Linked DNA regions of Caenorhabditis elegans. The protein of the gene in region 3 purifies or fractionates together with the protein of the main gene of each other region. This does not show direct contact. Each region holds a gene or a part of one and is shown on either strand. Other genes may lie near its edges.

Evidence for each region.
Region 1: the proteins of enol-1 (region 3) and Y53G8B.1 fractionate together in Caenorhabditis elegans (co-fractionation; one large-scale study listed by BioGRID). This does not show direct contact.
Region 2: the proteins of enol-1 (region 3) and pfn-1 fractionate together in Caenorhabditis elegans (co-fractionation; one large-scale study listed by BioGRID). This does not show direct contact.

The regions. Positions count from the first base shown.
Region 1 is NC_003281.10:3,127,230-3,130,981, forward strand, and holds the start of Y53G8B.1 (maleylacetoacetate isomerase), read left to right. Parts: upstream 1-2,047; 5' UTR 2,048-2,115; coding exon 2,116-2,179; intron 2,180-2,673; coding exon 2,674-2,738; intron 2,739-2,784; coding exon 2,785-2,958; intron 2,959-3,121; coding exon 3,122-3,202; intron 3,203-3,636; coding exon 3,637-3,752.
Region 2 is NC_003279.8:12,919,954-12,923,705, forward strand, and holds pfn-1 (Profilin-1), read left to right. Parts: upstream 1-2,050; 5' UTR 2,051-2,086; coding exon 2,087-2,212; intron 2,213-3,056; coding exon 3,057-3,329; 3' UTR 3,330-3,595; downstream 3,596-3,752. UniProt on the Caenorhabditis elegans protein: Binds to actin and affects the structure of the cytoskeleton. At high concentrations, profilin prevents the polymerization of actin, whereas it enhances it at low concentrations. By binding to PIP2, it inhibits the formation of IP3 and DG.
Region 3 is NC_003280.10:8,928,904-8,932,655, forward strand, and holds the start of enol-1 (Enolase), read left to right. Parts: upstream 1-2,099; coding exon 2,100-2,191; intron 2,192-3,202; coding exon 3,203-3,288; intron 3,289-3,444; coding exon 3,445-3,752. Other genes in the region: cct-2 (T-complex protein 1 subunit beta), read left to right, coding at 1-361, 408-580; mrpl-50 (Large ribosomal subunit protein mL50), read left to right, coding at 950-1,482, 1,536-1,734, 1,781-1,906.

The DNA.
Region 1 (3,752 bases), on a different chromosome or scaffold from region 3:
GATTAAATTTAATCAAAATCGAGAGAAACAGCTACGGTGGTTTTAAAGGCGCATCACACAATTTTGTATGATGGGTCTCGAGTGGAAATTTTATTTTTTGACATTTTAAGCGAGCTTAAAAAACCTCTTGCTTAAAAATTGATAAACTATTAGTTTTAATTGGGTTTATTTCATAAACTCATCGGAAAACATCTATTTTATATTTTTCTTTAAAAAAACAGAAAAAACAAGAAAACCAAAGAAAAAGAAGAAAAAAGTGGTACTGTGGATTTAAAGGAGCATGGGGCAGTTTTATCGTATGGGTCTCGAGCGGAAAAGTTTGTTTCAGCAATTTCAGCCATTTAATAGTGAAAAATTCAATGCATTTATTAGTTTCTGTTTAAAAACCAATAAAAATCCACAAATTTCCTTTAAAATCGATAAGAAACTCAAGAAAAAGACTAAAAACCAAGCAGTTTGTCAACTTTATAATCGATTTAAGCCATTCAAAACGTGGCTTTTTGCTTGTATAATACGTCCGTGTGGGGGGTGGCGATTCGATAGTGTCTCGTCGTCTCACCACTCTCTTCACAAATTGTCACTCTCTCGTCGCTCGGTCTCTCAAAATGTGTGGAGAGAGACGACGACGCAGATGTTATCGCAGTGTACTCTGCGTATCGTCTCTTGTTTTTTTTTGGTTTTTTGGAAGTTTGGTTAGTCATTTTTGAATGGGGCAATTAAAATTATCTACAAAAACTGGAAAAAATTGAATCTCCCTGAAATCATCCACAAAAATATATAAAAATGTATAAATCTGCCGGAAGCAATATTTGAAAGATCAAAATGTGGTCCTCTAATATATCATGCGGTTTTCTCCTAAAATGCTTCATTTCCTGAACCAAAATAGCTTTATTTCAAATCCAAAAGCGATTTTCAGTGATTCTTTGTTGAAACCGAAATATCTCAAAATCTAAGAGAGATTTTCAAAAAGTTTCAACTAACAAAATATAACCATTTAAAATTCCTATATTTTGTTAGTTAAAAGTTTTTTGATAGCTCTTCTCCCCGCGGAGATATGCACGTTCAAAGTTTAGGCAGCGAGAAAGTGTGGAGGGAGGGGAGACGCAGGCAGCGCGCGCTGTCTCCGTCTCTCCCCCTTCTACACTATTTTATGGCGTCAATTTTAAAGGCGGATATCTCAACGGAGAGAAGAGAAATAAAAAGTTTTTAACTGACAGAATATAGGAAATTTTGAGGGCTACATTGAATTGTTAAAATTTGGTTAAAATTTTGATTCTTGTTCGATTGTTACCCGTTTAAGAGTTTCGAAATTACAATTTCGAGGGAAAATTGTAAGAAAATGTAGGTTTGCTAGCTGAAAATGTGCTCTCAGAGCAAACTTAGTCACTTAGTGATAAGAAAATGTTAAGAAATTATGGAATGTACGTTAAAACTGATAAGGAGGCAATGATCAAAGTCAATTTTTTTTTTCCTAAAATTTTTTTTCTTAACGTTTCGGGGCCTCCAACTAGAAACCAGTATTATTTGAAAAAATAAGATATGAGCAAACATCAGGTCAGAGAACATAATCAGAATATGTTTTGTGGTAAGAAATTGGGCACAAGTTAGACATCAAAAAATTTGCGCGTTCTTTCACCTACAAATTTTCAAAGATACATATCTCTGCAGGGAAAAAAACTTAGAAAAAGTTGTCAACTAATAAAATATAGGAAATTTCAAGGGCTATATTTTTTCAGTTTGCACCTTTTCTAGAACAGTTTTCCTAGCAGAGATATTAACGTTTGAAAAAAGAAGTACTGAATGGGCGGGGAGCGACGCAGGCAACAACCCGTGCAGTTTCAGCCCTTTGTATCTCTGTTTCTATCAATGTTAAAAAAAAGTTGTCAACCAATAAAATATAGGAAATTTCAAGGGCTATATTTTAATAGTCAACAATTTTTTTGATAACTTTCTTCATTGCAAAGTTACACCTAAAACATCATTACACCTTGTGTTTTGCTACCAAACATCACCGATTTCTCACCTAAACATGTTATTGACCTTTATCATTCATTATCATTCATCACTATCACTTTTCTCCAAAATTGTCACAAACACATTGACTTTCTTTAGAAAATGGCAGCAAAACCTATATTGTACTCCTCTTGGAGTTCAGGATGTTCGTCAAGAGTTAGAACTGGTGAGTTTTCCAAAAAAAAATCTGTAAATCCTGATTTACTGTTGAACTATGCGTCTTTAAAGTCAAGAAGGTGAGAGAGTATGGAGGGAGGGGAGACGCAGAGGCTGTCTAATTTTCAAAGGCGCATATCTCTGCAGAGTGCGAAGTTATCAAAAATTGTCAATCAACAAAATGTTGGATATTTTAAGGGCTATATTTTGCCAGTTTACAACTTTTTCGTACCTCTTTCCTCGGCAGAGTTATGCGCCTTTAAAGTTGACGTGAAGAAACATTGTGGAAGGGGGAGAGACGCAGACAACTAGTGCCACCTGCGTCTCCCCTCCCTCCACACTCTCTCGCTGCCTAAACTTAAAACGCGCATATCTCAGCGGGGAGAAGAGCTATCGAAAAAATTTTAACTAACAAAATATAGGAATTTTTGAGGTCTATATCTAAGCAGGTAACTGAACTTCAGAAGACAAAAAAAAATATGGGATTTTTTTAAATTTTTTCAGCTCTTGCTCTGAAAAAGATCGACTATGAATATCAACCCGTGAACTTGCTGAACAAACAGAAAGAGGTAAATTTTAAATTTTGCTCCTAACTCCAAGTTTTTCCATTTTCAGCAAGAATTCCATGGGAACAATCCTGCGGAAAAAGTTCCAATTCTGAAAATCAACGGTCTAACTCTGACAGAAAGCATGGCAATAATCGAATATCTCGATGAAATCTACCCAGACCCACCACTTTTGCCGAAAGAGCCCGAGCTCAAAGCTCGCGCGAGAGCTATTGCTTTTCATGTATGTTTGTTGCATTTATAGACATATTAAACTGTGTTATTTTCGTATTAAAATTTTTAAAATTCGAATTAAGTTCACCAAGACCCCCACAAAATAGGTAGGTTTGTTTTCGCGGTGAGACCAGAAATAATTTCTCGATTTTGCTATAATAGAAAAATTTCAGATCGCCTCAAATATCCAGCCTCTGCAAAACAAGCCGATCTACCTGATGCTCAATGAGAAAGAGCCCGGCTATGGGGATTTTGTGAGTTCAAAAAAAATTTTATAGAGTAGTTAGTATTTGTAGGTGTAAAAAAATTCCTAAAAATCTGAAAATTTAAAGCAATTTCTAAAAAAAATTCCAAAAAAATTTATATAAAAATTTGTTTTTTTTTTTTGAAAAAAAAAACTTCGCAGTTTCCTCGTCGAGACCTAACTTTTTAGATTTTCAAATACGAATTTTATATTCAGCTCACCAAGAGCTTCAAGATGATACCCATATTGGGGTCTTGCCACGAAACCCCTCAGGGTTGCGGTAGCTATTGTGTATTATACTTTTTATATATTTATAATACTTTTTATAATTATACTTTTTTAAGCTCTTAATGCACTGAATTCGATAATTGAATTAATTTTTCCTTTTATACTCTTAACTTCAAGAAATCAATAAAAAATTCTTTAAAAAGTGAATTTTTCCAGTGGTGCCAACACTTCATCAGCAAAGGATTCAAGGCTCTCGAAGAGCTCCTGCAAATGCACTCTGGAGATTTTTGCGTCGGAAATCAAATTTCTATCGCTGATATTTGTCTTCCATC
Region 2 (3,752 bases), on a different chromosome or scaffold from region 3:
ATTTTCCGCAGGTTTTTCACAAAATTCTCGCGTTTTCTCCCAAAATTGATATTTCCAGCAGTTTTTTCCGCGTTTTGTCTCGGTTATTGCCAGAATATATTTTCCTCATTCTCTAGCAAATATTCGCTAATTTTCCTGATTTCCACCCTATTTTCTTCCGGAAAGTTCAGTTCGTTCCATTCTTGCTTTAAAACTGTAAGGAAGGAGCGGAAATAGGTGATTCAGAAAGAGTTTTTTATCAATTTTCGGCATCCGATAACGTCGTGAATCGAGAAAAATAAAAAAGCTATAAAAATTATCACATAGCGTAAGATTTCGACTAGAAAACTCTCAATTTTCCTATTTTTTTTGATGAAATTTCAGCTCACAGTGAGTGTTTTGTAGAAAAATGTAAAATTTTCCCCATTTTCCCCATTTTCCGCTTTCTGGAGTTTATTCGTTCGATTTACTGACAAAATCTTCGGGTTTTCTGCAATATTTATAGAAAAATCCGGCCAATGCTACGAAATTTCTGTTTTTCGCGGCTCTTTTGACTATTTCGTGACTTTTTTGGGGCTTCGATCATCAAAATTTCGAATATTTTTATGATTTTTGAGCATTTTGATGTATTTTTTTTCTTCTAAATGACTTTCAGATCTCCTTGGCAGAAAAAACTGCGAATATTATAACAACTTGAAGCTTCCTCGACGATTTTTGGCGACCTGCTGTTCCATGTGACTCACCATTCCAATTTCGCAATCCACTGGTCATTCTCGGCATTAAGATCCATTTTCAGCGCTCAATTTCGCAATTTTCAAAGCTAGAAAGCTTTGTTCAAATTGAATTGTTTCGCAACTCGTCTTCTATCGCCTTTTGGTTCTCTTTCTCCTCCGTCGTCTTCGCTGTGTTCTCTTCAAAATGATTCATCATTGGCTTTGGTTGTGTCTCTGGGTCTGTGTGTTCAATATAAATTGCAACTGCATTTGACATTAGTATGGATTGAGGCGGGTTATTTCACCCTCTTTTAGTAGTACACACACATTCAATTTGATGGGCGGTCTCTGTCTCTCTTTTCGTCCTTTATGGGTGAATAACTGACCAGCGGAGCAAGCAGGCAGGAGCAGGAGCACAAGCTCGTTGTTCGGGTTGAAAAGGGGAAGAAGGAGAGCACCAGATGGCATGCAAACATTCTCTTTCTCTTCTTCTCTCTATTGCTTTTCCTCACTGTCATTCACTGCTTCTCCATTTGCCCAGCCAATTAGATGGAGTGTTCCGGGTGGTCAAAGATGTCCTCTAGTTTTCGTAGCAATTTTCATCTTTCGGAATTTGAAATTGGAAGTTTTCTTTAATTTCTCTCAATTTTGGGTCATCTGGCGATTTTATGCCATTTTTCTTGTGAAATTAAATTCTCAGATTGCTCTAGATAGTTCAAATCCTCTAGTAGTTGAAAATTCGCCTCAAAACGTTGCTTTTTTAAAAAGAATTCTCCCTTAAGTTGGTCCTAATTTCTCGAGGCGAGATCTTCCAAAAGCTGAATTTTTCCAAGTTTTCTACATCTGAAACTCGAAATATTTACTATTTTCGTAGTTTTTGGTAGTTTTCGGTGTTTTCGAGCTTCAATTCCGCCTTTTTGGCCTGAAAATGGTCTGAAAATCATCGAAAATTGGTCAACTCTAGGTAAAATGCCAATTTTGGTTTAAATCGGCTCAATTCACAGAAAATTTCCAAGAAATTCATGAAAGAAGCTCAATTTTTGCACTACATTGGCGAGAAAATTGTGAATTTAGTGAGATTTTGTTGGTTTTTGTCATTTTATCCATTCGCAAGTTCTTCGCCACCAACTTACACCACAGATAAGCAAAAAATCTGCGGAAATATCAATTTTTGGGTATTTCGGCATTAAAATTCCATTTTTTGCGCAGTAAATCAAAAAATAATCGATTGTTTACAAAAACCGTAATTTTCAAGCGATTTTATGCTCTTTTTCTCCTAATTTGTGCTCTTTCTTCATATTATCATTTCTCATTACCCCTCCAACCATCTCAATCATAATTTATGTTTATTTTTTCAGTATAATCTCCGCTTCAACCTCCTCCAAAACACAAAAATGTCCGGATGGAATGCCTACATCGACACAATGACTGCCGCTGCTCCATCAATCAAACGGTGTGCAATCGTCGGAGCCGCTGATGGATCTGTCTGGGCTCGTACTGAGGCTGACAATGTGTTCAAGGTATGGAAATGGACGAAAATCATCGAAGAAGCTCGAGAAAAAATCGATTAAAACTGGAAACGATTGAAAAATCCTTAAATTGACCCATTTTTGAGATTGAAAAGAGCTAGCGGGGTCGATTTTTGTTGGAATTTTCGCATTTTGACCCAAAAAACTGAAAATCTCGCGAAATTATTCACTTTTTGAATTGAAAATCGAAATTTTTAGCCGCTGAATTTACATTTTACAGGAATAATTAGCAAATCCACTCAAAAATTGCAAAATTTTCATTATTTTTCGAACAAAATTAAAAAATTCCAGATTAGGCAGGCTTCAGGCGGCCGTGCCTGCCTACCAGCCCCTGTTTCTCATATAGTTTATACTTCTTCGAAACCCAAGTAGGCAGCAGACAGGCTTAGGCTACCTTGAAGGTCAGGCAAGTTACCTGCCTGACTACCTTCGAGGTGGCCTGCCTGATACCTACATTAGAGCCTACTTGTATTTCAGCCGCCTGAAGCCTGCCTACTCTGGAATTTTCTAAACTTTTTTTTTTCAGATTTTTCAATTTCATGAAAATTTAGAGTTAAAAAGCGTTAAAAAAAAAATTAAAATTCGAAGATTTTTTCCTGCAAAATGTAAATTCACAGACTGAAATTTGTGATTTTCCAGTATCTCGGCCAAGAATAAGCCGATTTTTTTGGAAATTTCAGTGTTTTGAGGCCTAAAAATGCGAAAATTGGGGAAAAAGGCTAACTTTAGGGTTACTGGATTTAAAATTTCGAATTTTTGGAAATTTCAAAGCGCAAATTTTTTAACAAGAAATATTTCCTGTCCAAAAACTTCTCTAATTTTTTCCAATTTCCAGGCATCCGAAGAAGAGCTCAAAACCTTCGTTGCCCTATTCAATGACGTCACTCAAGTTCCAGCAAAAGGAGCCGATATCGAAGGAGTTCATTACGTCGTTCCACGTACCGAAGAATCGCTCATCTTCGGAAAAAAGGAGAACACTGGATTCTTCGCTGTGAAGACCAAGTCTGCAGTCTTGATTGCTGTCTACGAGGGACCAAATGAAGTTGCTGCACAAGTTCGCAAGGCTGTCGAGAGTATGCAAACCTATCTCAACAATGCTGGATACTAAATACTTCTCTCTCTATCGATTGTTGTTCGATTCGTATTTATTCCCGCTTTTCTCTATTTTTTTTTTGCAAACTTCCCCCTTCTCCCTTCTCCCAAACCTTGATTTCTACGAGTACAACGATGAAATTCGGTTTTCTTCCGCGTAATCTTTCCCTCAAAACTCCCATTCCCAGAGCAAACACAGAAACAGTTTTTATTTCACTTTCAGCTTTATCATAATGTATTGTATTCCCCCGTTTTGTTTTCTAGTAAATTCATTGCCAATTCAATGCCTTCTCGATTATTTCATTTTCATCTCCCATCGACGGAGAAAGAGAGTGAGAGAAGAGTTTTGTGCTCGGAGCAATTATCGCGTGTTTTTTTCGAAACCACGCCCACACTGCAATTGTGCGGCGCGGTTTTTTGGTCAGAATCATTTTACAGA
Region 3 (3,752 bases):
CTTCTTCGGTTCTCGGGAGTCAAATTGGGTGAAGCTTGCTCAGTCGTTCTTCGTGGAGCAACTCAGCAGATTCTTGATGAGTCCGAAAGATCCCTCCATGATGCCCTTTGTGTTCTCGTTACTCACGTGAAAGAATCAAAGACTGTTGCCGGAGCTGGAGCGAGCGAAATTTTGATGAGTTCAGCCATCGCCGTCGAAGCTCAAAAGGTTGCGGGTAAGGAAGCCCTTGCCGTTGAAGCCTTCGGAAGAGCCCTTGCTCAATTGCCAACCATCATTTGCGACAATGCTGGACTTGACTCGGCTGAACTTGTCACAAGACTCCGTGCAGAGCACGCCAATGGACGTCACAATATGGGAATCGGTTTGTTCATTTGGAAATCTAACCATTATACAAAATTATCTTTCAGACATCGAGAAAGGAGAGGTTGCTGATGTTACGAAATTGGGCGTTATTGAGTCTTACAATGTGAAGTTGTGCATGGTTTCTTCCGCCGCTGAAGCCACGGAACAAATTCTTCGCGTCGACGATATCATCAAGGCAGCTCCACGTGCCCGTGCTCAAGATAACCGACCATGCTAATCAAATTGTTCGCCAGACTGTTAAAAGATCTTCAACTTTATTCTCCCTTTTTCAGCTTTTAATCGAGTGCTTCAACACAATCGTATCTCGTTTTTTTTCGTCCCCTTCATTCTTATTTTTGATGGAATTTGATACACTTTCTGTTGCTTCTGCCTACCGTTTTTATATGCCCCCGTTTTCAATTTAATATTCGAGAATACCGCGTGTTTTTGCTTGTTGATTTGTTTTCCTTTTAAAATGAATGGAGTGCGATTTACAAAAGGTACAATATTTGAAATGTATTTTATTCCAGTTTTTATCTGATTTTTTATATTTCTGATTAAAGAGAAAAGAAAAAGCTTAAAAGAAAAAATTTAGAACTGCCAAAAGATGCACAGGAGTTTTCCGAGGCTTGTCCGATCGCAAGGTAACTTGTTGAAAGGAATGTTTGGAAAATCCGGGGAAAAGGAAGCAGTAAAGCAGCTGACACTGGAAGAACAGGAGAGCCTTCGCAAGACGCTTCCCAGCATCCGTGCTAGAGAATCCACACAAGTTACTGCTTCAGCTGATTCTGTCACTGAATTTGACGATGATCTGTTGACGATGAGCCGTATCGACACGGATGCCATCCGGGCCAGAGGTTTTCTCAAATACACGCAAAACTATGTTCCCGGCGTTGATGTCAAAAACCAAGTACTTGAAGCAGCGTCATCATGTCTAAGAAGTGCTGGAGTAAAGTCTGAAAACGTGGATCAGTACAAATTTGTGGAAGGAGATAACTCTGTAAAGTTCGAGTTGTTGAACAGGCTGGGAAAATCCATCGAACATTGGCCAACCAATGGAAAACTTCTTCATTTGGAAACAGTGGCAGACGTCGTCGAATTTTATCAGACGCCTGTCAAAAATGTAACAAAATATACAGAGTTAGTTTTTGTTTAAAGATGCTTATTGAATTATTAATTAAAATAAATTATAGAATGGCTCGCGATGAGAACAAACCGAAAAACGTCTCGATTATGGAGCATGCTGCACGTTTCCATCCTGAAGACACTCACATGTATCATGGTGGAATCACTGCATTCCCAGGATCAGGTGGTGAAGTTCTCTCTCTGAGACAGAAACGTCTACTTCGACAGTTCCAACCGAAAAAAGAATGGTTCGATTATGATGATCAGGTAATTTTTAAAGTTTCAGTGCTGACTTAAAATCGGCATTTTTCAGACATTTGATTACACTCGTCCTGACAAGAATATGCCATGGGATCCAGAAGTTGCTAATCAAATGGACAAATACACTGATAAACGATACAACCTAAAAACAAAGCAATTCACTAGGATTCGACAATAAAAAATAATTTGGTTCATTTTTGTATTAGAGTTTCATATTTAGTATTTTTAGACCTATTTTCTTTTTGTTTGATCTATCGATTTTTATTGTTGTAAATAAAATTGACGTTGAAAAAAATATTTTTGACCTCTTCACGTTTTGATCTTCCTCTAAAGTTTTGCTCTACGCAAGTTATTTCAGTTTTTGATTTAAAATGTTTGTTCCATTCACCTCGGCAGCTCACTCGCTCACTTCGCTCATTCGAGGTGGCGGGCAGCCTTCGAAAAGCAATCTGTCTGGACAAAGGTTTTGGTTATCTCTTTTTCTTTATTTTCCGCCAGTTGATTTCATGCTCCCGCGACTTCCACACGCAATCTGCAAAATTTTGGCTGCTGAATCAGGGTAATGGGGTCTGCCGTGCCTTTTTTCCAAAACGTTGACTGATGTTTACTTTTCTTTTATGTTTCATTTTGACTTGTTCAATGGTTTTGAACAATAGTGTGTGCAAACTAACGTTTTTCTTTAAATTCAACACGCAAGCTTTGAGGTGTTTTAGTTAGAAAGAAAATAGTTGTGTTTCTCTTCAAAAATAAGTTTTTTCCGAAATGTTTTGCAAATTTTCCGAATCAACAATTTCTTCTCATATCAGACCTTATCACTTCTTCTCACTTCTAAAACTGACCACTGAACATAAAAAACATTTGGTAACTCGCTTCTCAAATCCAATCTGAAGTGCATGCTTTGCCAATCTGAAACTTCGTGTAAGTCACGTATTTAGGCGAAAGGCAGCCGCTCAAGTCGTCGCTTCTCCCCAGCGGCAGTTGCTGGCGTCCTTGGCCCCTCACTTGTTTTCGAGCCCAAGGCATTGGCTCCTCTTTTCTTCTCGGCATGACGAATTTAATCATAATTCTCAATATCTAGAAGTGTTCAAGAACTTAGTGAATCTGCAATGCCTTTTTTTTGTAACTTCAGTTCGAATCTTAACTGCGTCTCTTTGAGATCTACAAACGAATTTTATTCACTGCCACGAAAAAGAGGCTGTCCGTGCGATTCTATTGAACGTGCGCTCTCGGGCCGCTCACAAACACATCTAACCAGCTGCATTTTCTCTGAGTCTCGTGTCCTCCGTGCGACCTTCGTCACTCTTTCCACTTTCTGCGCCGTCTATTGACGGCGCCGCCTTTTTCTTCTCGCACTCCTTTACCCCTTCTCGCCTCAAACATTTTATCTTTTCAGTTGTTTTGTTTACTAGTGCCCGTTTCTCACGTAGTTTTATATACTTGTTTGATTATTGAAAACATATAGTTCATTTTGCAGGATGCCAATCACCAAGATCCACGCTCGCCAAATCTACGACTCCCGCGGAAACCCAACTGTTGAGGTTGATCTTTTCACTGAGAAAGGTAAGCGAGCATTGTATAAATTCTATCAAAACTTGAAAAACCAATCTAGATTTGAATAAAATAAGATTAATCTTGTTTTATTCAAATCTGAAATTTCATGAAGTATATTTCAACATTATGACGCAATTCCGAAATCACATCATTTCTTGTTTCCAGGAGTCTTCCGTGCCGCAGTTCCATCTGGAGCTTCTACTGGAGTTCATGAGGCCCTCGAGCTTCGTGACGGTGACAAGGCTGTTCACCTCGGAAAGGGGGTTCTCAAGGCCGTCTCGAACATCAACGAGAAGATCGCTCCAGCTCTGATCGCCAAGGGATTCGATGTCACTGCACAGAAGGACATTGACGACTTCATGATGGCTTTGGATGGATCGGAAAACAAGGGAAACCTCGGAGCTAACGCCATTCTCGGAGTTTCACTTGCTGTCGCCAAGGCTGGAGCCGTACACAAGGGACTCCCACTCTAC